Drosophila melanogaster: one gene and its partners. The protein of the gene in region 2 interacts with the protein of the main gene of each other region in a pairwise test. Each region holds a gene or a part of one and is shown on either strand. Other genes may lie near its edges.

Region 1 (6,745 bases), on a different chromosome or scaffold from region 2:
TTATAGAACGCCTAGCGTTTTAAAAAGAAATTTAAAATGTGAAACACATAACACACAGACATGTCCCAGCAAACAAACAAACAAGCACACGAAACGCTAAGCTATGCTAAGTATTTATGATGTATTTTTAGCTGTTATACTTTATCCCCTATGTATTTATTGCTACAACTATGTGTTTTCCCCTCAAGCAAGCTTAAAATCTTTTTTTTTTATTGTGTTTAAGCGTAACTTAATTGGTGCTTTTCTTCGAAAACGAATGAGAAATATAGGTTCTGTGTTTGATTTGATCACACCTTGAGGCAAAAATCTTGAAAAATGTTTTTTGAACAATAACCGAATTGAAGTCCAAATGGATAGACGGACTGCTCGTATTTATGTATTTACTTTAAAGCATTTTATTGAGGCTAAGCTGATTAATTTAACTCTATTTACATATATATCCTCTAATATTTAAGAACGCAAATCCTTGTTACGAACTGTTGACTTGAAGCAACAAAACAGTTGGCAAAACCGAATGCTAAACAAATGAATACATATTTAACACTTCCTCTATATGTGATACAACACTTTTTCTAGAAAAGCTTTCATATTATCTTATAAACTAAATAGAATTAACCACTCTCCACACACTGTAAACGATCACCACTACTTAAGTGGGCTGGCAGCAGCAGGACAGGCTCTTGTTCAGGGATAATCCAGATGAATGAATGTATGTCCCGATCCCACGGATATGTGTCCCATCCAACTTGTCGCCCCATTTAGCTACAGCAATTACGGAAAATCGGAGCTTGTAACAAATTGTTAAACGATGATAATAATTGCATTGAATTTAATTTGATTTGTGCGTAGAGCATCTGTGATGAATAATAATGTTTAAAAAATGACGGAGAAGGAGCGAAGTGGAGAGCCCAAAACCACACACAATACTGATCAACAATATTACTAATCAAATATAAGGTGTTTTATTCCTCGTATATAACATTAGCAGACTAAATGTAAACACAAACGAAATCAAACAAACTATTTAATTATGTAGATTTGCAGACCGCAACAACTAAATGTTAAATGTTGAACTAGAGTTAAAATTGTGAACTCTAGAAACCGAAACTAACGATGCAACAAAGGAGTATATATTTTGGCATACAAAATTTTTACCATTAAGTCAACTAAATGGAAGAATACAAATTGTGAAATATGTTTTATTTTTACTACATTTCGGACAGCACGAAAACCAGCCCAAAAATAGACAAAACTTAAAGTTCGCTATGCAATAAATCAAAAGGCAGCAATTCAAGAACGGAAACAATATGAAAAACTATACGCATATAACATATATATTTATTAATGTTAACATATGGTACATTTTTGATCTAATTGTTTAAAATAGCCAACCAGCAGCAACAGTTAAATTAAATGTAGCTTAAAACCCAAATGCTCAATAATCCCTTTAGCTTGAAAACTAAATAGCCAGCCGTAAAAATGTTATACAAATCATTAAATGCATATAAAGCCAATTTTAAAGTCTACAACAAACCTGAGAAACTTGAGATCTTAAATGAACTTCATTTTTAAAGTGCTTCAACTTTTTCGGGATTGTAATAGCTTGCGTTTGAATTCAACTCACAATTTAGTCGGGTGAAAAGCCTAATTACTTAATTCTTTTACTAGAAAAGGAGAAATATATTAGAATTATTAACGGCTGTGTCAAGTTGCCAAATATCTGCCAACATTTGTTTGTAATATTCTTAATTAATTCTTTAGCCTTTTTTTCTAGCTATAAAGTTAGATTTGACATCACTGTCGGGTGCCAACGGTATTTTGAAAGTATTTTTTCCTGTTCACTTGGGTATATTTCGACGGTACAGCTGCGGTCACACAATTAAAAGTGACTGGCATCATTTAGCAACAAAAAACGCGAATAGCGTCAAAAACATTGTTTTATCGCCGTTGGAATTAATAAAAGCACACAAAATGTCTGCCCCAGATAAGGAAAAGGAGAAAGAGAAGGAGGAGACCAACAACAAGAGCGAAGACTTGGGTCTCCTGGAGGAGGACGACGAGTTCGAAGAGTTTCCCGCCGAAGGTTGGACGCAATAATGTGGTGGTACATCGGCAGTTTCTAATCACTTTCATTGTAGATTTCCGCGTTGGCGACGACGAGGAAGAGCTAAATGTGTGGGAGGACAACTGGGACGACGACAACGTGGAGGACGACTTCAGCCAGCAGTTGAAGGCCCATTTGGAGAGCAAGAAAATGGAAACGTAAACCGGCACCGACCCCTTTGTTCAGTCCTAACCATAAAAACGAGCTGAGCTGTTTTGCATTAATAGAATAAAATCAGTATATTAAGTGGAATTCATCTGCCAGTTTTGTCCGAGAACCTCATGGATTTGCTCATTTAATATGGCATATAGCTGATCTTGCTCCAAATTTTGCTGGTCTAGCTCGATCAAGTGATTATTCAGATCCTCCAGACGTTTCTTGCGATCCTCAACATCGACCTGCAGCTTTTTGAGTTCATTTTGCACCTTGTGATTCTCGGCATCGTTTTCCTGGTTTCTTTCCTCGTACCGATGTGCACAAAGAGCGAGTTCCTGCTTCTTGGCCTCTGCATCCTGAAGGAGCTTCTGATAATTAACTTTACAGGTGGGCAACTGCTTTTCCACTGCCTCCAGCTGCTTGAAGCTCTCTTTGTAATCATCCACCTTGCACAGCGAAAGCACAGCCGTGGCCTTCTCCAAAGCGGTGGCTATATGTTGACTGTTTTCGATCATCCGGCGATGTTCATTCGTCACCTGTTTTTTACTGGCCAGCTCCGTCTTGCAGCTCTCGACATGCGACGATGCGCTCTTAATTTTCCTACAATGTTTGACATTAAAATAAGCACAGAATCTAGGCTTGCCCGACAGCACTTACTCTCGCAGCTCTGTCACTTGACTGTCCTCCACCACTAGCTGTTCCCAGTGACCGATGCGTTTGTCCAGCTCACCCTGCTGCTGCTCAATGAGTTCCAGAGTGTTTTCATGCTCGCTACAGGACTTCTTCAAAGGTAGAAGCTTTGCTTGAGTATCCTGCAAATCTTTCTTGAGTTTGTTTATGGCCACTTCGCAATCCTTCGTCTTCTGGCTGCATTGCTCCAGCTGTTGACTTTTGGCCTTCACCTCGGCGGTCAGCGAATCCTTTAGCTTAATGGCCTCCTCTACAGGTCCCAGCACCTTCTTTTTGAACACCTTGTAGTAGGCCAGATGGTTGAAAAGGTAGCTCAGCGTGGCGAGCGTTTTTTTAACAGCTAATAGCCAAAGAATTGTTTAATAATAATTGCTTATTGTAAGACCGGCTGCCGGCTCACCTGGTTTAATTATGTCCATATAGGTGTACGTCTTGTTGGGAAAGCTGATCTGGACGATGCGCTCCACTTGGCGGCACACTCGGATAAGAAAGACGCGCGCCTCCCGCGACGAGTGACCGAGTTCGGTGCCAATCTTATAGGGCGGCTCCAGGCGAAAGCCGAAACTCCGCAGATAGTGCACCATGATCTTGGTGACAATGGGCTCGGTGGGATTGGCCAAGTCGCTTTGGCAGATATTGATGTCGGGCATCAGGCAGTTGCCCTGGTCCATTACCCTTTCAATTTCGACTGATAACGCCATTCAATCCAGAGTTTTAATTTTTAATGGCAGTTTTTGAATGGAACGCCGCTAAGGGATCAGATTGATGTGACCAAAGCTTGCTAGCCCCAAAAAACCACTAAAATACTAACTCAGAATTTATGTGGTTTTCACACCTATAGTCCTACAGCAGATTCTCGGGTTTTTTTATCCGGTTTTCTTTCCCGGCAGCTAGAAAATACTGCATTTGTTCAGCGCAAACTTAAAAAGTAACGGAAAATCTGGCTAAAGTTACTAAGTTACATTTTTTATTGGTGAGTGAAAACTCTGGCTTCCTCCAGCGCTGCAAAAGATGATGCTAAAAATCTGATATGCCCGTACGGGGTTTTCTCCAAAACTTGGCCAAAAAAGGTGGCACAGCGAAAATAAAGACTGTTTTGTACTGCTAATAAACATACCTAACTATCCCTATCACTAGTTTTTTGATTTTCCAAAAATAAAATTTTTACAAAATTTCGCATTTTTGATAAGGGGTACCCTCATCAAAATTTGCAAAAAATTGAAGCCTCTTGGATCTTTCAGGTTTCAACACATATGGATAGGGAATTAAGTTACGAACTCAACGAGATATGACATTCCAGTTTTGGACAACTATTCTTATTGCTATTGCAAAAAACTCGTTATTTTTGTAACCAAAAAGGAACGAAAAGAAATTTTGCCAAAAATCGTATATTTCCAATCGCTGATTTCTCCATAACTTGGCCAAAAAAGGTGGTACAGTGAAAATAAATACTGTTTTGTACTGCTAATAAACATACCTAACTATCCCTATCACTAGTTTTTTGATTTTCCAAAAATAAAATTTTTACAAAATTTCGCATTTTTGATAAGGGGTACCCTCATCAAAATTTGCAAAAAATTGAAGCCTCTTGGATCTTTCAGGTTTCAACACATATGGATAGGGAATTAAGTTACGAATTCAACGAGATATGACATTCCAGTTTTGGACAACTATTCTTATTGCTATTGCAAAAAAACTCGTTATTTTTGTAACCAAAAAGGAACGAAAAGAAATTTTGTCAAAAATCGTATATTTCCAATCGCTGATTTCTCCATAACTTGGCCAAAAAAGGTGGTACAGTGAAAATAAATACTGTTTTGTACTGCTAATAAACATACCTAACTATCCCTATCACTAGTTTTTTGATTTTCCAAAAATAAAATTTTTACAAAATTTCGCATTTTTGATAAGGGGTACCCTCATCAAAATTTGCAAAAAATTGAAGCCTCTTGGATCTTTCAGGTTTCAACACATATGGATAGGGAATTAAGTTACGAATTCAACGAGATATGACATTCCAGTTTTGGACAACTATTCTTATTGCTATTGCAAAAAAACTCGTTATTTTTGTAACCAAAAAGGAACGAAAAGAAATTTTGTCAAAAATCGTATATTTCCAATCGCTGATTTCTCCATAACTTGGCCAAAAAGGTGGCACAGCGAAAATAAAGACTGTTTTGTACTGCTAATAAACATACCTAACTATCCCTATCACTAGTTTTTTGATTTTCCAAAAATAAAATTTTTACAAAATTTCGCATTTTTGATAAGGGGTACCCTCATCAAAATTTGCAAAAAATTGAAGCCTCTTGGATCTTTCAGGTTTCAACACATATGGATAGGGAATTAAGTTACGAATTCAACGAGATATGACATTCCAGTTTTGGACAACTATTCTTATTGCTATTGCAAAAAAACTCGTTATTTTTGTAACGAAAAAGGAACGAAGAGAAATTTTGTCGAAAATCGTATATTTCCAATCGCTCATTTCTCCAAAACTTGGCCAAAAAAGGTGTCACAGCTAAACTAATGACTGCTAATAAATATAACTAACTATCCCTATCACTATTTTTATGATTTTCCTAAAACGAAATTTTAACACATTTTCGATAAGGGGTGTAAAACTGGGCGACACATTTGATACATGTAACAATGAACTGGGTGAAACATAAAGGCGTAAGGTTTGAAGTTATCTGACTTAAGCACTTAAATAAATAGTTAAAAACATAAATAACTGTGCTCTTTGATTTTGTTAAATTTGTTAATGGCTCTGATTGGACAGCGCCGTGACGCCACAGTTTTCGACTTGATGTCGTTGGGTAACCAAATCGCTTGTTATCATTTTGATTGATTTATGGTGTGTCCGTGCGACTCTGCTAATTAGCTGCTAATGTAAATTTGAGTCGAGCGCCTCAGTCATGAAGCGTTCGCCGATCAGTTGGTCACTTCTGTGGATGGGCTACACATGCATTTTCCTGCTGGCCGATAGCCCAGCCCCTGTGGAATCCCATCACATTTTGGGTCTCTTTGTCAATGTGCACCGGTCGCAGTTAATGGTCCATTTGGCGGTATGTCGCGCTCTTTTGCAGAGGGGTCACCACTTAACCCTAGTCACCACATTGCCGCTGGAGGAGCAGGAAATTCAGGGAAATGTGTCACACATTTACATTCCCTGGCAGCAGCCAAAAGAGGAAGTATCCTCCTCGGACCTCATTCTGCGCCTGGAACGGATGTTTAGGCGTTTGGAGCATTCTGGAGATCTGCTTGATCTGCCGGAGTGGAAGATGTTTCTCAGAAATCAACCTAATACTCCCTATGATCTCCTCCTCTTGGGCTATCATTTCAACGATCATCTGCTGGGAGTTGCTGCGCATTTCAATTGTCCAGTGGCCATAGTTTCCACCCAACAGCCAACTGGATTTGTCAACAGCCTTATGGGTAATCCCGAGGAGCGTTGGTATGTCCCACAGCCGTATGATGGCCAACAGCGAAGTGGAATCTCGGCCTGGGTCTTTGGAATGTGGGAGAAGTTCATGGAGATTTTGGCGAGGAGAGTGCTGGCAAGGATCTACCGGTATGTATCTAAACGCAGTTGTTTAGCGATCAATTGAGATTTTCTTTTTAGTTTGCACTTTCCCGAACCGCAATATCCCAGTTTTGAAACCATGCGACGGTCGGTGGTTCTGGCTTTAAGTAATCATCACATGATCAGCGAGGGTCCCATAGCTCCACTTATTCCCAGTATGGTGGATATAGGAGGTATAGTCCTAGAGCAACAGCTTGATAAGACTCCTC
Region 2 (8,043 bases):
TAAAAGTATAGGTTTTCTAGATTTTTAAAAATGTCCTTATTGATGTAGGCATTACAGTTGACTCGATTAGCTCTAAAGTTCGCATAAAAAATTATATATTTATTTCAGATTGTAAGTCTACTTTTCATAACTCTATAGACAGTCTTTATCCATAATCTTAATAAGCGTAGTGCAGCTTCAAAAATATTCGGTTTTAATGCTTGTTTCCCCCGAGGACACACCTTTCCGTGTCCAGATCCTCGTCCGAATCTATTCGCTGGCAATCGCCGTGTCCCACAGAGCAACGTTTGTACAACAGATAACTGAACCACACGGTCAATGGAAGAAGAGCCAATCCCAGTGGCATAAGGAAGAGCAGCAGGAACTCCCGTCGATCGCTAGTCGGAACTCCCTCATCTTCATTACCGTAGTCCGACCAGTACTCATTCTCCTGATCCGTATCCTCCACATCGGCCAGCACATCCAGGAAAGCCTCGCGGATCTTATGGCCTCGATAGCTGATGGCCACGCAGGCGTAGTGTCCGGCATCTCGTAATCTCACTCCGTCCAGAATCAATTTGCTGAGATATATCTGGGGTGCCATCATCTTTTCTGGATCGGTGGACAGTAGTTCATATGTTCGACCATTGTACCGGACAATATGGTTGCTAAAATTTGAGGTTGTGGGTGCCGAGGAGGCTTCGCCACCTGACTGAGTTCCCACGTACGTCTGCCGGCGAAACCACTTGATTGTGGGATGCTCCTCGCTGTGAACACGGCACTGGAACACCACCCTACTGCCCACCAATGTGGTCTTGTTGTTGGGATACGAGTCCACAAACTCAGGGGCTGCCAATGAGGTGTCTACAAATAGAATTTATACATAATTTTCGATATGGTATATGGTATATATGGTGATGAAAATTGTACATACTTTTAACATCCAGCTGATAGGTGCGAACCAGTTGAACATCCACAGCCTGGGCTTTATCCCAAATGTGCGGATTAATGCTGCATTTGTACAGTCCCGAATACCGCTCCGTCACATTCCGGAGCCAGAGTTCCGGACGACAAAGACTCGGCTCACATGGCAGAGCAGTCCACTCGTCCACAGATCCCAACTGATGGCAATTGTTTTCGCTGCATTGCTGAAATAGTTTAATGCTAATCAATGGGTACCAACAATAATAATAATAATAATAGTACATACCTTAAAGTACCAATGTATCTTGATGTCATTCAGCATACTCTCATCGACCAGACCTTTGAGATTGCACTGCAGCTTGACATCGAATCCGGCTCTCTGTTGAATTAACTCTGTGTTCTCTGCACCGGCAAAAAAGATATAACAAAAATTCCGAACCATTCAATCAAGGCAATGGCAATGTTTACTTTTTTCTGTGTCAATGATAGCCAAATTGACAGTATCTTATCAAGCGTTGTGCTCCCCGAAATTGCGATTAACCTTCTGAATATTTTGACGAATGAAAGCGGAAATGTGTAGTAACAAAAAGAGCTTCTAAATGAAAATATGCACGTACTTATATATATATCTTCGAAATTAAAATTACCCTTATAGTAAGAACTAAACTCACCTGTATAGTCAACAAAAAAACAGCGGGACTGCTGAAAGCCGCACAGGCAAATGAGTATCAATAGCCAAATGCGGCCAGACCACAGATCACAAATCATCGGATCCATTTCCACTTAGCATATCCGCGACATTGTCTTCCACTTGCTATCGCCGAAGGAACCTGTCGAACACTTTGATTAGTTACTTTGGGGCACACACAATCGTTTGGCATTTATTTATTTGAATTCCGCTGGCTGGCCGGCCATTCGTTTATTTCCCAAATGATCGATTTTCATTTAATTTCTTAGCAAACAAACGAGGCTCTCAAAGTTTCTATTTATTTATTTGGTCGACGCGGTTGCATTTCCACTGGTTCTAGCACATTTTTCACACATTTTATTGTGCGCTGTCGGCAATGAGTGTAAAAATCCACTTTTGTTTATTTACTTGGCCATTCGAAGCGAACGGGTGCTCTACATTGGCTTACAGACACAAACACTGGGCCACAAATCCTTGGTGCGCTCATATATATAAATTATCAGAATTTCGCTTCCCATTTATTAATAAATAGTGAGTGCCATTTATGCAACAATAAATCATTGCCGCAGCGATAATGCTCGTTTATCAATTGATTGGCGGCTACCACAGAACTTGCGGGGGCACTCGATAGATTGAGAAGCGCGTAGAAGGGGCCTAACTTTACGAATAGTTTTTTTTTGGTGTGATTAGATGCGAAAAGCTATGAATTGTTGGGAAACATATATGATCTCCTAATACATAAACATTAGTTATAGACTTTTGATTAATTGACAGAAATTTAGAAAGATATTATATTTAAGAGAATCAAACGTTTATATTGTTTCAATATTCCGTTTGCGTGGTATGTCACGAACAAATCATTTGTCGACCACAAAACACGAAGCTCATAAAACACTTTTAATACCAGGGACGTTTGTTTATGCATTTCATTTTCCAAGATCTGCGATCTCTTCCCATTGTGATGGAGATTTATCTGTGTTGCCCCACTTGATTGGCATCGACTCAATTGATTTATACGATATCATTTATTAGGTGAAAAGTTGATTGTTTAATAGACAATTTGTTTACCGACCGGGCCGCGACCAGTGGAATCAAAATAGGAGCAAACACACTCACTGTGGCTAAAACCAGATGGACAACTGACACGACGGCTTCATAATCGCCTTGCTTCCGCTGATACGGTGTATTACTTTTTTTCCACTAGTTGGAACTCCGGGTCTGCTTCTCCGGTTACTTAATGCCACACACAATTTGTCGATGCTCACTGAATTTTCGCGAATTTTGCAAAATTCTAGATTTTCCCCGTCTGGAGATCCAATTGCTGCTGCTTTCCCACCCGAACAATTGGCTATTGAGGTCCGTAAATATTGTAGCCACATCGATCTTGCGATCGTTTTCTTCCGTATGCGTTCCGTTCGCGGGGCTGGCTATCAACAAACTACTGTAATACACGATTTGAACAAGTGTTACCCCTCGGAGGCGACGGCAGCGGCCACTGTGGGCAGTGCACTGAGAGAAAATTCAATGAAAAACTGAAGAGAACTTTTTATCCCAAAGATAAAATCACTAGGGCTATAAAATATGTGTATTGGTTTATGCAAATTGAATGTTCAAGGTTAGTACTAATAGTATTTAGAGCATACACATACACATCTACCTCCTATTTCTTCCAGTGTACATTTGCTCTAGGTTCTGGCATTGCTGGGGAACAACAAAATAAATGTGTTTTATAAGCAGTTTTGCTTATCGCATAACAATATCGGTGCGTAAATATACAGTAGTCGATGGAGTGAACCGATATGGGTCTAGCCAGACACCTATGTACATATCCAGTGAAGGCACCCGCACTGCTATTGCCACTTCCACATCAAACCGAAGATTAGAGAGGCAATGCGGATAGCTGGGACTGCTTAGCTTTATCGGGCAATCCGAACGCTTTTCTAAGCCATAGATGGCCAGTTATCATGTAAATTCAAAGTGTTATTTATACAGCTCTTGTGCGAGTCACACAGTGGGTTTGGTTTTTGGTGATAAGCCATGGGTTTCAAGCGAACCCATCGATAGCCGGAGCTTATCGGGTGGTGGTGGCTTATCAAACGGCCCATAAATGGAGCAGAAGCCACCGGCTGCTCGACGCCGGAACTCCGCGATACCAACAAATGGCGTCTATAGATTGCTACAAATGGCGACAACAATGCCACCAATTTGACCAGCAGCTCCAATGCTCGCCATGCTCGAAATGCGCAACAAATCCAAATTAATTCCCAATGGGCCGGTCAACAAAAGCCCCCCAGCCAGACCACTTGATAACTTCCCGATGGGCATGTGAAACTGATTAATGTGGCATTATAAATAGGACTCAAGTATGTGGTTGGGTCTTAATCGAAATTAGCTTACTTTGGGTAAAAATAAATTTATGGTATTTACGATAAATAAACAAATGCGCTTATTACTCGAACTGATTTACTTTGTGATCGAGAAACAAATGGAAACATGTTCCCTTTGCATTTAGTTTACTATCACCATTTAATTCAGTATAAATTTATCGAGTTATTGGTCTTAAAGCCAAGGATATAAAGTTTTAGGTTTTGGTTCAGAATCAGGACGATATGGACGACTTGAACGATGTCATCGCAAATTTGAGCATTAAATCCAAGAACTTTATAGATGAGGCTGCAAAATCATTAACCCCAACAATGGTGGGATTCAAAAGAGAACCTGAGCGAAATCAAAACTGTACCTACTTTATGCAGAATACCTGCCAGCTTTATCAAAACATTTCTAAATCCCATCCCAAGATTGAAAACAGTGTTAAATTCGATGAAGATTTTGTGATGCATATGGAACCTGAGATCAAGGTGGAATGCTCTGTTGATGATCCCAATAAAGAAGTTCAAATTTTGCTGTATGATCCTAAATCATTTACGTATAATATTTACATGAACATTTTTTTTTAACACAGAAAAAAGGAACGCTTGAAGCAGAAATATATGGAAGCTTTGAAGCTGGATGAAAACCTTGAAGCTAGAGTGAAACAATCGGCCATTGAATCCAATCCCGATATGGAGGAACAACAAGCTGAATTGTGAGATCATAACTTTATTTATGATAGCATTTACTTAACTTTATTGGCATTTATAGAAGAAAACTTCACAAGGATCAAGTGGAAATGTACAAAGGTGTGCAGGAAGAAATTATGGTTTCCTTCAAGAGAGACATGGATGATCTAATGCAACAGTATGAAGCTGAGTACTCGCGACTTAGTAAGGTCCACTCTAAGTGGGTAAATTCCGAGAATGATTCCACCAATAACTCAAACACTCATCAGCCTTAGTCATCGCTTAGGAATTTTTAAGATTTTAGCATTTTATTAGTGAAATCAAAACGTATTTATGTAGTTTCTTGGGTTTTAACATTTGACAATAAAAAATATTCAGTATATCAAATATTTTGTTTATTTTATACAGCTTTTTTATCACTTTTCCTTTGGCTTCAGCTCACTTAGTTCCGTCGCGCTCGGCCAGCAGATCCAGCATCACCTCGATCTTAAGATTACACATATTGTTCTCCTCCTCGAGGGCACGAAACTTCTTGTTCAGCCGGAGCATATCATCTACGTCACCCTTTCGGGTCGAATGCATCCAGATGCCGTCCGCAAAACGCAGCTCCTTGTTGCCCAGCGTTAGGGAAATCTGGCGGAAGTCATCCAGATCCTCGGTGGCCACCGGATGTCCTATATTGCAACGTCCCTGACGCACTGGAATCGGCTTCGACTCGAACTTCTTGTTGAAGAGCGGCATTGCAAACAACTGAAACGGAAAGTTGACCACATTTCGATTACATCCCCATTTGTTTGCCACTGCCCCGTTGCCCAGGACAACAGACACTTGTCAGGGGATCAGCGTTCGCGGCAGGACTCGTGCCAGGTTTTTAATGGCTAGTAAGACCGTATCCATATGTACCTGCTTGAAGGGTAGCGGCTGGCTGTCAGAGATTGACGAGGGGCAGCAAAAGGTTGCCAGTTGCATAAAATCGGTGAAATACAGAGAACTCCTTGCTGCACGCGGGGATACGGATGGATTTCTAAGCCAAACTGCCTTCAACAGGATTTTAAATGCCTGATAATTTAAAAGACAAAGCTTGCTTCATCGCAGAAACTCGTCTCATGTCAAACATAAACATTTTGTTTGGTTCATTGATGAAATTCTATACAAACACACAATAAACCCGATACACAACTCTGCTGTGAAAAATAATATGATTCCAAACACACAACAAATATGACACAACACGAAAATCAGCAAGCCATTCTCAGGTAGGAGAGCAAAGGAAAATTTGTCAACTAAAGTTAGTCAACGCGCAGCCAATTCACCATTTAGCAACTTTGTGCTGGAAATGTGTGAAGGAGTGGATCGACTGATGCGGGATCAGGCCGAACTGAAGGTTCACCTCAACGAAATTCTAAATGAGAACCGCCGGCTGGACATCGAATTGGCCAAATGCAGGAGCATCTTGGTTAGCGGCGATTACCAGGAGCTCAAGCATCGCCTTCAACTCAGCAACAAGGCTTTGGACGCGTCCAAGAAGCAGGTGGATGAGCTTATCAAGGAACGGAACAGCCTGAAAACCATGCATGACCTCTCCAAACAGACCATCGAAACCATGGAGATGGATCTTAAGAATTATCGCGTCCAATTGAAAATGTCTGGAGATGACCAGGTATTATTGCACTTCATCATTCCAATCCCGTATTGATTATCATATTATAGTAAGCTTTGACCAAATCGTATGTTTTAGGGACCAGAGACTAATGGAAAAATCCTAAAGTAAACTTCAACGTTTTCGGAATTCAATTTTAGGTCATACAGCGGTACTCGAAGATCGTCAAAGTGCTGGAGGCAAAAGTTGAGGACCAGCAGAAGGAGATACGCACGCAGGCGGAGACCATAAAGGCCCTGCACGATCACAAGCAGCACAGCGGATTGCAACTCCAGCAGCTGCATGCTCAACTGCAGGATAGCGAGCAGAGTCAATCCAAGGTGTCCATCCTGCAGAAGCAGCTTAAGGAGTACGAACTATCGCTGAGCCACACCCACAATTTGCTCATGGAGAGCACAAGACGGGAAACCGCCGCCATGCGCAAGCTCGAGGAGGCTATCATACTCAGCGAAGAGGCAAACAAGGAGAAAATAGATGCCACAAAGCTGGCCGAGACCTACAAGGAGGAGATGACCCACCTAGCCTCCAATATCGGTACCATAATGGATGAGGCCTCCACACGCGTCGACGTTGAAGTGGGCCATCTGAAGAATATGCTCAAGCAAAAGGACATTATAATTACCACCATAAAGGAGAAGGTAAAAGTCTATATTCGTATAATAATTATCACTTATAGTTACACTTACAAATTTTAGCTGAAAAAACTGGCTGTCGATCATAAGTCGGTGGTGCACATGCTGGAGACCCGGAGCAATCGCCTGGAGCAAAAGTACAAGGAGGTGCTGAAGCAGAACGATAAGCTGGAGGCCGAGTTGGAGGCAACTTGCCGGCGACTTGGCGAACTGGAGCGATCCGTTACTGAAGCTTACGGTGGGGATGCCGAAGATGCCAGGATGTGAGTATACAACATAGACAATTAATGACAAACATGATTATAAATCATAACGCTTTTAGAAAAATGTACTATAAGTCTCAAATGGATCGCTGCATAATGGATCACAAGAAAATGAAGGAGAAATACCGCGAGGGCATGGAGGACATCACGCAACGCTTCGAATCGGAAATTTACAAGTTAAGGGAGGAGAACTCCGTGCTGCTGGCGGAAAACGAACTGCTTAAGAGCGGTGCCGCAGGCGATAGCTCCAAGCAGACTTCACGCTGATTTTACGGTTGTACAAATATATATTTTATGATAACTCTCGTACATAATAAATTAGTTCTACGAGATCACACTATGTGGCGGCCGTTGTCTGTGCGTTTCGACCGGGAAACAAACTGGGAAACCAATAGGCTGGCTCATCGCCCGCCTGCTTGTCAATCCAACAGAGACCTTCGCCGAGCACCTTGTCCAGTGACTGTTGAGCACGATAGTCGGTCCAGCTGAGAACGGATAACACGGAAATCAAAGGGATATTCAGTTGAAAGTACAAGTGAAATTCTTACCCCAAATCCTTGATCAGCTGACTCTGCGTAACACAGCCTTGTTCGGTATTGGATGCGGCATTCAGTATGTTGGTCTCCTCCATGCTCAGCTCTCCGGGAATGGACTGAACTATGTACTTGCCCTTGCCCAGCTTGTGAACCACAAAGCTGAAGGTACGTTATGGAAAACGAGAAACTTGTGATATTGAATGCAAGCAGAGGTAATGACCCATACCCGTTGCCAAAAATGCTCAATTTCTTAGCGGCCATTAGGATGTCCTCCTTGGTGATCTCCTGGTGCACTGAACTCT
Region 3 (8,942 bases), on a different chromosome or scaffold from region 2:
TTTAAAGCTTATGGAGGTCTCTGGCTCGCTGATTCACTCAGATTTTTTTTGTTCATGAGGCTTTTGCACGTGTAGCACTTTTCAAAGAAATGATCATAATATTAGTTTATTTGTTTGGAATATTTTACCAATGCCGAGTGCCCAACATGCCGTAACAAGCAAATAGTTTGGAGCCTTATCATCTCCTTATCACAAGGTAACGACAACTACTTCCATATTTTTATTAGGCATTTGGGAAACCCTAGCCAAATTTTATTTTAATTAAATCATTTATTTGGGTATGATGTTGCTTGCAGTTCAAGTATACTATGAAGGGCTTAGTATATTACTCACACTGCATGTGCCAGCAACGCCAGATGACATTGTTCAGGCGAATTTTGTCCTTCCACCGAAGTCGTACTCCTTTGAAATGATTCCATTTGGGTGAGGTTAGTTTTTGACTGTAAATTAAAAGTTATTTTGTGTTCAATAAAGTAAAATATACAATTGAGTAAAAATTAAATTAAATATTTTATAATATGGAAAATCAGTTACAAAACAAATAGATTTCTTAGTAAATATTTAATCAATGCGGAGATTACTTTATAAAAATAGACTGACCCTCAGCCCTAAGCCATTTGCAATCTTTTTAAAATCTACCTATATACACGCTTCTGTGTATACATTTGTATCGGTTTTAACAAAAACATCTATTAAATAGTGTGAGTAAATATATATTCAGGAAGAAATGCCTAGTTTCTAGCTAAATTGTTTCCAAGCAATTATAGGGAATTATAGACATAAATTATTCCGACTGTTTTTTTTTTAAATTATTTTTTACCAATTTTTGTTTAAATGGAGCAATATAATATGAAATACATAAAAACTGTGATAAAAGTTTTAATAATAATTGTTTTTAAACCATTTCATATGGTATTATATGTATTTTAATCAGAACTTTAAAAGTGTTTTTGTCCTCATAAAGTAACTTTAAAAATGTTTTTGTCCTCATAAAGTAATATATATAAAGCATATAACTGTGGACGGCAGTTCACATAGGGGCGTCTACTATTGTGGACAACGGTCCTGTAGTAATGAAAGTCCTATACTAAAAGAAATCTTAAACGTATCGAAAGGTATCGCAAAAACTAATAGGACTTTTAAAAAATTAAATGGTTCAACGGAAAAAAATTTGTGAAGATTTAACAGTTGAAAGTACCAGCTAATGTGATATTATTAAACAAAAAAAATTTAAAAACCTTTTAATATTTAAATTTTTGCCCGACCAAGCTATTGAAACTAGAGGACTGTGCTGTGTCGGCAATAATAAGTTTTTTTTCGACTATCTGATCAAAGGTTTGACGAGATAAAAAACTAGCAAATGCGATGAAACAAAAGAAAAATCATACAATGCGTATTTTTAAGAACACGTTTTTCTGTGGGTAATTAATTTCCACTAGATTAAAATTGTCTAAATTGTTACTTTCCCACTTTCTCAGCATCATCTTATGAAACATATGTTCTACCTATTGATAGGTGTACCGTTCTGAAAGGACACCAACATTATATATATACCCGTTATTAGGACCAATAGCCGAATCGATCTGGTCCTGTGCGTCTGTCCGTCCGTATGAACGTCGAGATTCATAATGCAACACACGCCCTAAATTTCCACGACCACATTTTTGAAAAATTGTTGGATATTGTTTTCATAATTTTATTAATCTGGTAAATTTCTATCGATTTGCCAAACCACTTTTTGCAACGCCCAATCTAACGCCCTAAAGCCGCCCATAAGTGCCGCGACTACATTTTTAAAAATTTTTGGATATTTTTCATAAGTTTATTAGTCAAAAAACCACCCCAAATTGACACGCCCACACTTTTGAAGAATGTTTAGATTTTTCTTCGTTTTATGGTTTGTCTTGCCAGTATTATGGTATATCAAAAACCCCTTCTCAGATCTACAAAACGATCATGCGAAACATTTAAGCAATTTTGAAATTTGTTCCTTAGTTTATTCCCCAATATCTATCGATATCGTAGAAAAATGATGCAATTTTGATTTCGCATTCCCACTGGCACTTGTCCCGAATTGGACTTAAATATGTATATGTAAATATGAATGTTGTGTATTAAAAATCATGGAATTAGAAGAGAAACAAAACTTTAAATTTTATTAAAATGGGTAGCCGCTTCAAAAAAAAAAAAAAAAAACAGCAAAAAGTAAAATAAACAAGAGAGAATGCTATAGTCTAGTTCCCCAAATATCAGATACCCGTTACTCAGGTAGTGATTCGAACGCCAAATTTCAAAATTTTTCTGGGATATCGATAGATATTGGGGAATAAAATGAGAATACATTTAAAAATTGTTCTAAAGACTGGCAGCTTTATGGCGTTGAGTGGTGGTGGCAAAAAGTTTTTTTGGAAAATCGATAGAAATTTAAAATTATGAAATAATATCCAACAATTTTTCAAAAATGTGTGCGTGCCAGTTTTGTGCGGTTTTAGGGCGTTAGAATAGGCGTGGTAAAAAGTTTTGTTGTAAATGGATAGAAATGTACAAGACTAATTAAAAAATGAAAAAATTATTCAAAAATGTGGGCGTGGCAGTTTTGGGCGGTTTAGGGCGTTAGAGTGGGCGTGGAAAACAATTTTTTTCCAAATCGTTAGAAATTTACAAGACTAATAAAAATGTGAAAAAATATGATCACGTTTTTCAAAAGTGTGGGCGTGACAGTTTTCAGCTAGTGTTAGAGTGGGCGTGGCAACATGGCTAAACAAAGTTGCGGTTTTAACTTGGCTAAACTTCTAGATTTTATAGGGTTCCTGAGATCTCGACGTTCAGGCGGACATGGCTAGATTGACCCAGCTATAGATCCTGATCAAGTCGGAAACGCCCGTTGCATACTTTTCAACTAATCTAGTATCTAGAATCGTAGAGTAGAAGCGTATAACAATTACGTTGTTCTCTCTTTTAATATGTTATTTAGACAAAAAAAGCGTTTGGAAATGTCTTTCCATCGAAACTTAACACCATCAAAACAACCGGCGGGCGTGCAAAATGAAGCATGTTATAAATTTAAATTTATATTTTTCCTCGTGTATATTGTAGTCGCTAAAGCGCATCCAGGAGAACGCACACTCTCCTAGAGCACTTAGTCACTTAGTGAAAAACAACAATGAAATCACATGGTCGTGAAAAATGTAAGGAAATCCGAATTCGTAGTTATTAACAATACGCGTATATATATGGATCATACAAACAACTACCGTAGCTGTTTTATAGTGACTAAAAACCATCATTATAACAAACAAATTTAAAATTTAAAACTGTATAACACTTTTTTTAAACAAATCCTTTTCGTTCTTTAAAAAAAAACAAAAAACAATAGCTTCACAATTCAGATTTTTAGTTGATAAGGTCTCAGATAATAATATGTTGTAAGCAAATTGCATTTCATTTTGCAAAATTAATTCATTCTGATATTGCTTTGGCAATACTTTAATATTTTCTCTATGATTGCGCTGTCGTTTGCAGAAATGGGAGAAGTAACAGAAAGAGGGGTATAAAGGGTGGCAGAGGAGCGATTGAGGCAATGTGGGGCCAAAGTAACCTGAGCAGCGACGTCACGTCTCAACATGTGCCGCGATTATGGGACCGAAGCGGTCCAAGCTTTTTCGTTTGCTGGATTTTCGTTGGCCAGTTGAGCGTTATCACGCTCGAAACGCGTGAACAAGCGGGAAACAACATTTCATAAATCTTCAGGGCCCCGGTGTTCGGTTGTGGTCTCGAGTACGAGTCTTCAACTCACCTGTAGGCCAGATTCATGCACTTGAAGAGTTTGGTGAGCGAGGTCTCTATCTCCAGGTGGGAGGTCACCATGCTCATGCTGCTCTCGTCGCCCTCCTGGTCCATGGCGCTGAAGTGGGCCACTGTTTGGGGTACGTAAAGCTGCACGTCACGACATGTGTTGGTTGGCTCGCCCGGCTTGCCCAGACCGGGGTCCTCAGGGTCTAGCATCTTCACCTCGCCGTCATCCTCTAGGTCGTCCTGCGCCTCCTCTGCCTCGAAGTGCGAGACCATAAACTGGCCGGAGTGGATAGACTCCCGCTCCGCCTTGAGCAGGTCTGCCGTAGCCTCGGCGGACCCTGACGCCGAAGCACCTACTCCCGTTTCGTACTGCAATTGCTGGAAGTTTTGGCACAGAGACTGTTGCAGATAAGGCTGCTGGTGCAGCTGAGGCAGCTGGTGCTGCTGGTGGGGAAACATTTGGCTTGTGCGTTGGTATCCCTCGTGTTTATTCAGCATCATTTTCAACAGGTGCCAGGGGATGCCTATGCAAATAGTTTACTGTTGAGCCAAAATTTTGGCGGTTGCAGATTATGTCGATATGGCGAGGGCACATTTAATGGTTTTTTAATGTCTCTCGCGTAGTAAAGGCTTTTAAAAGCTGGTGCTGACCCTTTTTTAATTTGGATGGGGTTTTTCCATCATTTCAAAATATGTAAACGTTCGCAGACTATAAAAAAAAATATGTTTTGTCTTGCCTCGTGGTTAACACATTTATTAATTCTCTCATCTAGTGTTTGTCCTTGTCATTCTATTAACTAAATTACTAAAATAAGCGATTATTTGATAGAGACATAGCACGGTTTTAAGATTTTGATTTGTTTACAATGCCCGACACCTTCAGCTTTTCGTCATCGACACCTGTCCAATTGTTGCTTTTTCCGGAGCGAAGCTTCTCTAATGGCAAACACGCCCCGCTTTTGCCGTTATATGCGTCACACAGCACAATAACAACAATTTTCGCACACACACACACACACACAATCGCGGCGGGGTTGGCTGGGGATACGGACGTCAGAACGAGACGTCAGTGGCCGCTTGTAGCTCCTTGAACAGATAGTGAAGCCCCAACTACTCGTAAACACACGCGGATCTGATGGAAGGCCAACAAGGCGGGCAGAACCAGCGCAGAACGATCGGTTTCATTCCACAAACAGAACTGATCGGAGAACGAAGCTGCGAAACGCACATAACCTGTGCGCCGCACACAACACAACAATGAACAGCTGACGCGAAATCTCTCTCTCTCCCTACCTCGCTAGCGTTGCTTATCAGCTAGGAAAACGTACATACATATGTATATGTATGTATGTACGTGTTCTTCTATATGCGCAGATGTCAGGCAGCAATGTTGTCCCCCTCTCCACTATTACTATATGGAGCTCAGTCGATTTGACTCCTGGCATTCGGCCTTGCCATCCAGAGTATGCACTCCACAAGCAGTTCTGTGTTTGCACTTTTGACCTCTGGCTCAGCGCTGCCTTTGCATTTTGCCTTTTTCCGTTCCCACTCATATACACGCGCATGCACGCGCACCACAATTTCGGTACAACTGCAACTGCCCCCTATAGCAGAAACACGGGCAGTTAGCAGGCACGACGGACTACCAATACCACGCACACACGCGCAACACAAAGCTTCTACGTAGTTTAATCACAATATAGCACACATTAACCTATTGCGGGTAGCGAGCCCTCACCATCCCATCAGGGTTGTCAAGCATTTGGTGGCTCTGATAAACAGCACCCTCTTCCTAAAAATGGCTGAAAGCTGCGAGCCGAAAAACGCAAGAATGAGCATAATCACCCCAAACGTAAAGATTGGGAAGGGCAGCATACGAGGTCATATGTTTCCTGCTCCGAAATTGCAATACAATGAATTTAGGACGGCTATTTCCCGTAATTAGTTTCCAGTTTTATGGAATTGCTATTATATCTTTTTCCGACAGCACCTTGAAACCGCATCAATAAAAAGTTAATGCGTTGAGACTAATAGGAAAAACTAGAATATATACATATATTATACTCAAATGTAATGTGTTTTTTAAACATTGTTGTGCTTAAGTAATTAGGAAAAATTATGTAAAATGGATATTTTCCCTTTATGTTCACTATATTGTTTAAGTTAGAGAATAGAATACCCAGAATAAAATTAGTGATCACACATCAAAAAACTATCGATAAACATTGAATTAGTTCCGGTTAAAATTTAATAATAAGTATTCAAACTGCACACCTTGTTACAAAGTAGTGTAACTGCCTAATTCTTTATCAGCAGACTAGAGGATTTCGCACTCCCATGTTCTTTTGCTTAAATACCTTTCTCGGGCTTATATTAGACATTATACTTTCAGAGAATTTTTTCATTTGTACTGTTAGAAGGTTCTTAATGAAATTGCTGTTCAGTTCAAAATTTTTATATAGTCATTTAATAATACTTTACGAATGATTTTGTGCGCTTTAGATTTGTGAGAAAAAGGGGTGGGATTATTTAGTAGAAAGTAGCAAGGCATTTCCCGATCTGGTAACACTGATTCCAACACTCATTACCGTTCCAAATGAAACGCAAAAAGGTTCAATTGTTATTTTCTCTCACGATTTCGGCATTTATATTAACCTAAAGATGGCTCTATAGTTTGCGCGCAAGCAAAAACAAGCAGCACCTAGGTGCCCAAACACAACAAAATGGAAACGTATAAAAATCAAAAGTGAGTATACACCAAGCTAAATTCTCGCTAATTTCGCAATTTATCACGCACACTGCCGCACTTGGCGTTCTACTCATTCATTGTTGCTGCACGTGTGTTGGTGGCATTGCCTTGTATGGATTTTCAATTGACCGGGCGAACGTGGCAAATCAAAACTCAGTGGGGCATGCCACCTGGTAAAGGTAAAGAAATTGGCTGACGCAATCGCCGACTGGAGTTGAGTAATGTGCGTTGCAAGTCGCCTGCACGTGCGAAAATGAGATGACTCACCACAGTAAGGACTACCCCAAGCGGACACAGCCCAGGACAGAGCTGTTTAAACCGGCTGCGCGATTGCAGCTCTACCCTTGCATTCTATATTTACCTAAAATGTTAAAACATAATTACTATATTACTAAGCTAGAGGGGAGAAAGAAGTTTTCAAAAAGAAAATTAAAATCAAAATTTGCGTGCTTAATCTCAACTTTTTTGGTGGTGGACACGGCAATATTGACTCTTGGTAATAAAATGTTAAAAATACATTTATCTTTCATAGTTTTCAATGAATGTAGTCTACCCTTAGATTAATTTGAATATAAGAGGTACAGTAAAATGATTAAAAGTGTTTTTAAAAGGGTAGCGACTATTCATTATCACTATGACTCGTGATAAGTCATTAAACAGCTGTGGGCTGAACAGCGAACCAATTAATCATAATTAATTCGTTTCTTTAATTCTCAGCGCCATCATGGCATTTTCACAACAACAAAACACACCGCGAAAACAACCATTCTCATTCTTCGGACCGGATTTCATACTCTCAAAACAAAACATATCTTTGACCCCTGATTTGAACTCTGGATATGGACGCGACATTTCACCAAACCATGGAGAGCTTGCAGTTGCCCAAGGAGCTGTACTGGGACCTCAAGATGGAGCCACAATCCCCAACATCGGTTTTGGGCTCCGATCTGTTTCCGCTCACTGACTCAAACGATACGGAGTGGCTGTATGACGATAACTTTGCAAATGGTTTGTGGTGCCTAAAAGTTTTTTTGAAAGGATTTTTAAGGATTTTAATTTAAGGCATTACTCTTATTGGCGATGATGAAGCCTTGACCCTGGAAGAGGTAGCTTCTCTCCAGTTGCTTAGTGATGAGGAGATGGTTGTGGAGATCTTTGACCTGAAAGATGAAGGTAGGTATATTTTAGTGTGCTTACTTTTTTGTACATAATAATAATGTAAAATAATAAATGTTCTTGTAACTGTAGCTGAGCGCAAAATGTAGATAAACCCATTTGCGAGGAGGTCTTAAACCCATAAGAACGACCTCTTAGAGTTCTTATTAAAGCACCCAAATGTTTGCTAGTCTTACATTTTTCAAAGTCCAAAATAACTTTATTTATAACTTGAAGCTCATAATATTAAAGCAAAGACCGTTACTATGATTACTATGATAAGATAATTGGTAGTTATGCCTGATACTCGTAGATCAATGGGAAACTAGGCTCATTGAAATCTAATAAATAAAAGTAAGCTTTTCCGACTCTATTCAATTACTAGCCGAGTCGATTTGGCCATGTCCGAGTGATAATCAAAATCTCAGGAACAACAAGAGCTAGAAAGTTGATATTAAGCAAGCATACTCACGACCAATTATTTGAAAAAGGGATTACATTTCTATTGATATTCCAAAAATATTTGAGAACCTTAAATTGTCCGGATCTTTATATTAGAAGTTTTTAATAAATTGAGTTTTCAATTAGATACAAATATCTTAAATAAATACACCTATGGCAAATCAGTAAAAATGAAATATTTAGATATTTGCAGGAGCTTTGAACGTCTGCAAAATTCCCGCAAAAAAGATCTTTATATAAATATTAAAACTCAACTTTTGTTGTATAGAGCTCTTTCTTAATAATTAGTGTAGATCAAGTGGATTTCATTGTCTGAGTCATTAGGGTCTCGCACATCGCATTTGAACCTAAAATTCCGACAGGTAAAGTTGAGGAACCGGTTTCAAGTTTGCTTTGTTTTCGTTAGCGTATGTTTCTGGTATTTTGGCCCTCTTTAGCTTGAGCATGAGCGTGTTTTTGTATTATGGTTTTCACCGTGCATTTTATTATTGTTTATCAACGGAGCGCCAAGCAAGCGCTGTAATGGCCAATTTCCAGGCCACAACAAAGACTCAGATCAAGCGAGAGCAATGAAATCAGTTTTTGATCGGTTTTTTGCGTACTTGATCACGCGTTAAGCGAGTGATCGGCTGGACTCTCTCTTCTCTCTGTAGCAATCTCTCTCGACTCATTGCTGACGTTCGGGTAATACATTAAGAATTCAATAGATAACAGCTGGGTTGTATGATTTTAAAGGTAGGAACTCGATCCATTCTCTGGTGGTTATGACTCTGCCCCTTTT
Region 4 (8,440 bases), 6.5 Mb from region 2:
TTTCCATTTCTCCTCGCTCTTCTCGCGACGTTGGCCATAAAATAGTTATTAAATCGTTAAGTGGTGTGTTAAATTACCCACTTAAAGCGCCAGTCATTATTTACATAATTTACATTATGGTATATGGAAGCTGGCAGATATGTTCATCTTATGAAAAAAAAAGAAAGAGTCATTTCGAGTTTAAAAAAAAAAACTTTTGTTTTTAGCTTTTAAAAAGAAATATATAGAGAACGGTTGATATTTTAAAAGCTGTTATCTTTAAGATAGAAGTTGAAATATGAATGATTATTCCATGTTTATATTGCCCGGGGAGGAACTAGAAAATCGCCTAAGTTACTTTCTTAGTTAACCGCATTCAGAAAGTCATTCCTCACAAGTCGAAGAACACCCAAATGAACATGGCACATCCAGCACACCAAACTCCATTTCATTCAAGTTTAAGCCAGCAGTTTTCGCTTCAATTGACAGCCGCGTCAATTACCTAAGTCTGGGCCAATTTGGTTGGAGTGCAAACAAACAGTGGGTCGGACCGGGCCGGTCCACAAAAGCGGCGAGCGGAGCAGTAGAGATGCCGATGAAAAGCCCAATGACTTACATTTGCCCACCACAGCCAAGCGAAGGAGAAAGTGAAATTTTGCATTTCTCGGCGGCCGGCAGCAACAACAATGGGTCTTCGGTCTGGTTGGGTCTGGTCTTGGCCATTGCCATTGGCATGGTATTGAAGCGGTGCGACGGTAGCAGGGAAGAGGGGAAGGAAGAGGCGATCAGCGAGCGGAGCGGACCAGGCCCAAAGTCAAGCGCAGAGCTTCAGTCGTGGTTTTCAGCTCGACCCAAGCGAACGGACGTCTTTGAACAGCGGACGCGGCATAAACCGCACGGAAAACGCAACGAAATCGAAAGTGTTCACCACGCGACTGGAATCGCCAAGTGCTTAGCGAGGCGGGGGCAATATACCCATCCGTAAACATTACGTGTCACCATGCCGCCGGCTGGTCAACAACTCCGGCTTACGGCCCTTGTTTATCTGGCATTAGGTATTGCACTCTTATGCAATGGCAGCGATGGTGAAACTAGGCAAAAATACGCCAATGAATCACTCGCGGACGCAGACGATCCATCTCCAGTTTGGTCGCAATTTCTCGAAGATTACGTCTTGAGGTATGGTTACAGGAGGCTAGGCTAGGGCAACACACTCATCCAGATCTTCCCACGCGTCTGTCTTACATATAGCCAAGGCAGCAGTAGCAGCGGCAGCCAGCGAAAGTCCAAAGACCTGCCTTATATGGGCGCGGACATGGGCATCAATGGACCGCTCAGCTATCACTCGTCCGCCTACAAGCGACCCGGCAACAATATCTACATCACCAGGAGAATTGGCGAGGCGGTGGAACTAGAGCCGCATCTGCGAAAGCCCGTGGAGAGCCAGAGTCCCATTGTGAATCCTCAGTTCCGACCCATGACCAATCAAATGTTGCACCAGCAACACCAACAGATGCAGCAACAACAGCAACAGCAACAGTTGCAGCAACGCCAGCAACCGGGTTTCCTGCAGCAGCTCTTTGGCATAGGTGGCAGTGGTGGTGGTGGTGGTAGCGGTACCCAGCAACAGCAACATGTGCGACCAGTGCCGCTGCAACAGCAGCAAGTGCAACAGATAGCGCAGCAACACCCGCAACAGCAACATCTTGTGGGCGGTCAGCCGACCACATTCCGAGCTGTCTCCGAAAATGATCTTTATCTCTTGGGAGCCATTGAAAAGTTGGTGTATCGAGTGGGTAAGTTGAAGTCACACCTAGGAGTTCTTGGTCTAAGTAAAAGCAAACACCCATAGATTACCTGGAGAGTCGCGTGCGGCGCTCGGAGCAGCTGATCTACTATCTGATGGCCGGAAACAATCAGAAGGAGGTGAAGGATCCCTGTCCCGCGAACTTCACGCGCATCAGCGACAACTGCTACTACATCAACAGCCAGCAGCAGGTGAACTGGAAGACGGCAAACTCTGCCTGCAAGGGTCTAAACTCCCACCTGGCCGAGTTCGAGAAGGTCTCGGAGAATGAGGAGATCATGGCCTATCTGCTGAATCAGCCGACGCATCGTGGTCGCGATTACTGGCTGGGCGGTCTCAATCCTGGCCTCCTCTGGATCTGGTCCAATTCGGCTAAGCCGGTGAATCCCAACATGAATCTCACATCCATTGCGATGGCCCAGAAGGGGGAGAACTCGACGGCCGCCAATCTGGTGGACAGTTCGGAGCAGGCGGCAGAGGAGGCGACCGGCGAGGATGTGCTGAACAACACGGTGCAAATAGAGGGCAAGGGTCGCTGCCTACGGCTAAGTTACAATGCCGGAAAGCACAGCTATGTGTACTACGGACAGGAGTGCACCTCGCGGCACTACTACATCTGCGAGCACGAGGACAAGACGCTGGACAACAAGATCAAGAAGATCACCCGCGAGCTGAAGCTGTTCGAGTGAGGATGGGATGCAACCCATTCCGATCCTCATGTGATACTTCAAGTTACCTAGCCATATATCGCATAATTTCAAATGAATTTATTCTTGTGTTACACATTAAATATTTATAAATATTTATACAATTAATAAACATACCGGATAGTTTTCAAAACGTTTTTAAGGATACTTTGTTCTTGCACAGCGAAGCTTAAAGGATTCTTTTTTTTTCTCCAACGAAAATACAAAAGAGAATATTAAACAAAATCGATACTGGAACTGGGTTCCGTTTGCGTTAAGCGGAAGGTATACACAGAGATCAACGCTAATCCGGATACAGGTAGTCCTGCAGGATGTTCTGGAAGGCTATCTTTATCTTGCCGCGATCACGGCCGTTCAGCTTTTGGATGTCGGGCAGCAGGCTCATCAGAAACATGGCATCCGGATCGGTCTTGCAGTCGCACAGCTCCGCACCGCCGTTGGACACGGATCCGCCGGACGCGTTGTTGGCTTCCAAACGCAGAGGAAGCGCTGACGGCGGCACCTGTGGATGTCCTCCATGCATATGGTTGTGCCCATGCCGTTGACTCAAGTAGCTACTGCTACTGCTGGCACTAACACTACTACTGGGCGCCATCGGGGTGGCCACGGCCGCAGTGGATGGTGTGGGCAGTTCCGCTTCGGATAAGCCAGCAGTTCCTGGAACACCTCCTCCTCCTCCGCCTCCGGCGTGCGTTGTAGTGCTAACCAAATCCACGGGCTTGCTGAAAGTAGGTCGCACAAACGAAATGTTTGGATGGGCAGTCGGCTGTGCGGAGTAGTTGACCCCGGCCACTGCTGCAGTTGGAGCTTGGAGTTCCTGGGAACGCGGACGAATAGCGCCACGCATCTCGTCATGGTAGGTGCGCATTTGGAGGCGACCCGGAAGCATTCGGCTGGCGTGTGAATGCTGGTTGGCATAACGACGCTGGGCCTCCGCCGATGAAGAGCTAGAAGTAGGCGCCATCTTGTGTAGGTCCTGGTCATCCTGTTCATCCTCCTCGGGCTCGTGCGCCTCTTGTTCGTAGTCATCCACCGGCTCCTCGCACTCCGACTTAATGTCGTTGCCGTCCAACTGGCCGTGGTAACGACTGTTGCGCTGCTGCTCCTCCTCCATGATGTCATCCAGCTCGGAGTTGTTGTGTTCCGCCTCGTCAAAGTAGTCCAGATAGTTGTCCAGCTGCTGTGCAGGTGGTGACTGGTGGGCGGAGGGCGTGGGCTGGCCACCAATACTGCTGCTGCCCGGAATGGTCACTGAACGCTCACGCTGCATACGACTAGAAAGGTTCGAGAGGTGTGCCAGGGCGTCCTGCACCTGTGTGTCCAGCGATTTGGGCTGCTGGTGCTTCTTGCGTAGATACGGATGCAGAAAGAACATGCGGTCGAAGTAGGACCAGCAGGGTGGCACCTTTTCCTCCAGATAGTTGGTGTACTCTCGTCGGAACGAGATGCGCAAATTGGTCCACTTGGCCAGACTGGCGCCCGGATTCTTTTCCAGCTTCAAATCCACCTCGCGCCAAAAGTTCTCCACGTACGGGCGGCAAAAGTAGTATTTGTGCCTCGGATTGTAGATGGCCTCGTCGCGCTGCACAATTTCGATTAGTTTAAAGACCTACAGAACAACAGAAATATGTGAATCAAATCATTTTCAAATTGCATATCCATGCAAATACCTCCTCCGTTAGCCAGCGGGATGCACTACAGCTGGTGTTGGGATTGCTGGACACGAACTGGCTGCCCGCGAAGTCGGTCGTCATCATGGGTGGGCTGTGGCTCCAAGGCAGTCGCTCCGATGGATTCAATTTTTGGCTGACTTATCCAGCGTTCGCCATAACTTTTGCGAAATATTTTTATTGTTTTTCCCAAGTGTTCTTTTAAGTGCTGTGAACCAAACAGGCGGCCGAACTGGTTCCGGATCACAGAAGCTTTTGCTGACTATTTTGGTTTATGCGGGTTCCTTAAAAACAATGATCATGCAATATAAAAATTTCCCATATATATATCATCTTGTCTGAATCCGCGTGCTATGCTTAAAAGCTTAACCTGTAAGTGGCAAAAAGCGAAATTCCATGTGTTGCTATTTCTAAACAAACACAAAACACATTATTTAAGTACCACGCAGTGTTTGCCGAATTGTTTCTTTTCTCTTGATATTTGGTACATAGGCGGAATTGAAGCATTTGTGTCAATATTTGCAAATCTAAAAATGAAAGGTATAAAATTGAGCAACTATCCCCGGGAAAATATCACAGTCACAAAAGAGTAATCAAGATGAAGTTCTTCGCCATTCTGTTCCTTCTGTGCGCCATCGTTGGATTCGCTGCATCCTCCACCTCGACAACCACGACGGAAGCCTCCTCTGATACTTCAACCACTTCGGCGGCACCATCCCCAGTTCCGTGCGGAAATGGGCCCCAAGGACCATGTGGCAAGAAACTATACTTTTTCTACTAAGAAACAAATAAAGCACTCTATTCTTTAAAAAATGCATCGAGTTAAAAATCTGAATGAATTTAAACTAGATATATGTACATATTTAAAACTAATTTCACGAGCCACCCTAGAAAAAGTAAACGCAACGCATATTCTAGTATATTTTACCCGACTCAAGTGTATTTTTTGGTGCCCCGAACTTTGGTCACACTTTACCATTTTGGATTTTATTTTCTGTGTTTTTCCAAAATTTACTTCGATTCTGGCTCCAAGCTTTTACGTTTTTTCTGAAAATTGTGCGCATCTCCATGTGAATGCCGCACGGCGCGATAGTAAGTATAAAGCGTGGCTGGTGGGGGCATGTGGCTAAAGGAAACCACAAACACGGCGAAAGCTTGCAACATGAAAAGTCCACATTGTGGCACACATTCGCTCACAAACAATAACAAATTGAACGCAAAGCGAATCATAACAAAAAACGTCGGTTATCAAAGGATATTCAAAATGTGGTAGCTAGTGCGGGCATCCTGAGACCGATTGAAAGGTTTCCAAAGCCAGGCGCAGACTTGGAGGACGTGACCTGCCACAGGATTCGCATTAGAAATCACGCATGCACACTGAAGCGAAAGCAAGGAGCGCAATACTTGGCTAACACCTCGTTTGGCAATCCATTGGGCCTTTCCACATAACTGGCGATCATTTGTTTACGTCGCATCAAGCTTAAGTGCTTGCACACTCGAGTTGCATTGGTTTTGGCGCGCTAATACGTAGCATCTTAATTCACCACTTAATTGCAGGCAATCACTGGAACTTGATGCCCTACCCACAGGCATGGCGGTCAAGGTGCAATTCGAAATTGGCCACACGTCGAAGCTGCGCAGCAAGAAGACACCGCATCCGCAGGCCTTTACGCACGACTGGGAGATCTACGTTCAGGGCGTGAACAAGGCGGACATCAGTGCTTTTGTGGAGAAGGTGGTCTTTGTGCTGCACGAATCCTTTCCGAAACCCAAACGAGGTAAATGCGGCGATATATCATGGGAGTAGTTCAGTCGGATTAACTCTGTTACCCGAATTGTTTATTTGCAGTGGTCAAGGAACCGCCGTATGCCATTCAGGAGTCCGGCTACGCTGGCTTCCTACTGCCTGTTGAGATTTACTTTCGCAACCGAGACGAACCCAAGCGCATTGTTTACCAGTACGACCTGGTACTGCAGTCCACGGGTCCACCGCAGCACCACGTCGAGGTAAAGACGCACATTTTCGAGGCGCCGTCGGAGGAGTTTCGCACGAAACTTATGCGAGGCGGTGGAGTGCCAGTGTTCGGAGCTAACATCGGTGCCGGCAGTCTCGCCCGAACGCTTTCGCCCAGTGTTGGCAGCGGTGAGACAGCGCACAGTAATGAGATGTCTGGTGTCAAAGCCAAAGGCGTACCAGGTACAATATCCATGAACTCGGATTTAAACACCGGCAAGAAACACAAGTCGCGCAGCGAGGATCCCGGAAAGAGCAATGCCTTCTCTGCCCTCTTCGGTCCGCCTATCACGAAGACCAGCGTAACGGCCAACAACATGGCCCAGGTGCCTGTCTCCAAGCACTCTCCGGAGGCTAAAAGTGCTGCCGTTGGCGGAAAGGGTGTGTTTCACGAGGGCAGGGAGAAGGCGAGCAAGGATCGCGATAAGTCCAGCGGCGGAGACAAGCCGCGGGAGAAGGACAAAAAAGATCGGCATGGTCGCGACAAAGACCGAAAGTCCAGTAAGTCCGGCGATGGCAAGCACGAACGGGATAAGGAAAAGTCTAAGAAGGATAAATCACGGGACAAGGAGCGTGAGCGCGAGCAAGGTTCAGGCAATACCACATCTGCCAACGCCCTTACGGTGGCTACTTCTGTTGGCACAGCTGGAGGACTGGTTAAGCACACAGCAAGTCCTAAGCCTGGAAAGCCAAACGAAATGGGTGCGCCCAGTCCCAAGAAGACGGCAAATGATTCAGCCGCTGGTGCGGTGGCACCTACTTCCCGTTCCAAAGAGCGCGATGAGCACAAGTCCGTCAAATCCGAGTCCAAGGACAAGGAGCGCAGCTCCAGCAAGAAATCCAAGAAGGATAAAAAGGATAAGGACAAGCAGCGCGATGAGAGCAAAGACAAGCGAATGCCCAAAGACGAGCGTCCTGGCCAGTCCGACAGTCCGGCTTCCGGAAACCTTCAATCTGCCCACCTGCAGCAGCAGTCCCAGGTGGCCAGTACCGGCAAGGCCACGCCCACATCGGTTGGCAGCAATAGCAGCAGCAGCATGGTCTCGAACATTGGCAAGCAAAAAGAGGAGGCAACGGGAAAGCATTCCGAAAAGGCCGCAGAATCTAAGGGTGATAAGAGCACAAGCAATGGAAATGCGACGGACACCAAGAAATCCCACAAGCACAAGAAGAAGGAAAAAAGCAAGGACAAGGAGAAGGAGCGCAACGATCGGGACAAAGACAAAGACAAGGAGCGCGACAAGGATAAGCTGAAAGAAAGGGAGAAGGACAAACAGCATGTGACCGGTTCAGAGAAGTCATCAACGGTCGACCCATCGCCTAAACTAGAGGGGGCCAGTCCAGCCACCGAGGGAGGGGCACCGGACAAGACCCCTGTTAGTGCTAGTGCCAGCAGCGGCAGCAAGAAGGAGAAGCACAAAAAGTCCAAGGAGAAATCCTCTGGGAAGGATGAGAAGCGCCAACGGGAGGCCGTCGATAAGCAAGCCGATACCAAACACACTGGAAAGTCACAGCAGTCACAGTCGGGTCAGAGCAAAACGCCCAGCAACCTAGATCTTAGCGATATGGACTCAGCACAGTCGGCGCCGGATCTTGCCGCCACCAACGCTCTGGCTGCAGCAGCAGCCGCCACCCTCCAGCACTCCGACAGTTCCAACAGCAGTTTTCCCGACCTACCCGCCAGGAGTAGCAGCCAGCAGAAGCCGACGAAGGGCAACACCGGTTCCGGCAAAGAGACGAAGTCTACTGTCAAGGAACACAAGGGCAAGTCCAAGCAGAACGACAAGACGCTCGAGAAGAACACTGACAAGACAGAAAAGCCGGACAAGACTCCGGACCCCAAGGTGGACAAGTCCGAGAAGTCGGAAAAAGAGGACAAGAAGCGCAATCGAAGAAGCTCACAAAGTAGTAACAGTGGCAGTGGTGCCGGAGTCACCGGTGCTTTTATAGAACCCCCTGTTAAGGCCTCGAAAAAGGAGCAGGGCAAGGCGGCGGGCGAAAAATCCAAGTCGCCCTCGTTGCGTCCACCTAGAGAAACCAACTCTACAGGCACTGGAGGCGGGACGCCCAATGCCGGAGCCGGTTTCCTTGCTCCACCATCATCTTCGCCCAGCAACAACCACAGCGCTGCAGTGGCGGCGAGCTTAAATAATAATAATAATAATAACAACAATAACACGAACAGCAACAGCAGCCATTCGCCCGGTGAGATGACGACACCAGGACAGCTCCAGCTGCCCACGGAGTATTTGAGCGAGCTTCA

Evidence for each region.
Region 1: the proteins of CG6569 (region 2) and Sem1 interact in a two-hybrid assay, tested with the Drosophila melanogaster proteins (one large-scale study listed by BioGRID).
Region 3: the proteins of CG6569 (region 2) and Mondo interact in a two-hybrid assay, tested with the Drosophila melanogaster proteins (one large-scale study listed by BioGRID).
Region 4: the proteins of CG6569 (region 2) and CG6276 interact in a two-hybrid assay, tested with the Drosophila melanogaster proteins (one large-scale study listed by BioGRID).

Annotation. Positions count from the first base shown.
Region 1 is NT_033779.5:7,062,115-7,068,859, forward strand, and holds Sem1 (suppressor of exocyst mutations 1), read left to right. Parts: upstream 1-1,871; 5' UTR 1,872-1,971; coding exon 1,972-2,083; intron 2,084-2,138; coding exon 2,139-2,266; 3' UTR 2,267-2,346; downstream 2,347-6,745. Other genes in the region: Nuf2, read right to left, coding at 2,347-2,860, 2,918-3,290, 3,351-3,651; Ugt307A1 (UDP-glycosyltransferase family 307 member A1), read left to right, coding at 5,869-6,524, 6,576-6,745. UniProt on the Drosophila melanogaster protein: Subunit of the 26S proteasome which plays a role in ubiquitin-dependent proteolysis.
Region 2 is NT_033777.3:21,865,672-21,873,714, reverse strand, and holds CG6569 (uncharacterized protein), read left to right. Parts: upstream 1-5,795; 5' UTR 5,796-5,871; coding exon 5,872-5,906; exon of another isoform or gene 5,907-5,970; coding exon 5,971-6,310; intron 6,311-6,360; coding exon of another isoform or gene 6,361-6,363; exon of another isoform or gene 6,364-6,388; coding exon of another isoform or gene 6,389-6,421; exon of another isoform or gene 6,422-6,450; coding exon 6,451-6,948; intron 6,949-7,005; coding exon 7,006-7,205; intron 7,206-7,264; coding exon 7,265-7,472; 3' UTR 7,473-7,542; downstream 7,543-8,043. Other genes in the region: CG31431 (uncharacterized protein), read right to left, coding at 194-843, 914-1,127, 1,190-1,305, 1,575-1,680; CG31174 (uncharacterized protein), read left to right, coding at 4,201-4,496, 4,554-4,676, 4,733-4,925; lsn (larsen), read right to left, coding at 7,543-7,690, 7,754-7,900, 7,968-8,043.
Region 3 is NT_033779.5:21,304,492-21,313,433, forward strand, and holds the start of Mondo (mondo), read right to left. Parts: upstream 5,560-8,942; 5' UTR 5,448-5,559; exon of another isoform or gene 4,448-5,447; 5' UTR 4,297-4,447; coding exon 3,797-4,296; intron 441-3,796; coding exon 334-440; intron 1-333. Other genes in the region: crc (cryptocephal), read left to right, coding at 7,384-7,552, 7,607-7,717.
Region 4 is NT_033777.3:15,315,664-15,324,103, forward strand, and holds CG6276 (uncharacterized protein), read right to left. Parts: upstream 4,407-8,440; 5' UTR 4,251-4,406; coding exon 4,164-4,250; intron 4,103-4,163; coding exon 2,777-4,102; 3' UTR 2,540-2,776; downstream 1-2,539. Other genes in the region: CG14866 (uncharacterized protein), read left to right, coding at 980-1,158, 1,231-1,775, 1,832-2,475; CG44040 (uncharacterized protein), read left to right, coding at 4,762-4,944; ear (ENL/AF9-related), read left to right, coding at 5,755-5,941, 6,013-8,440.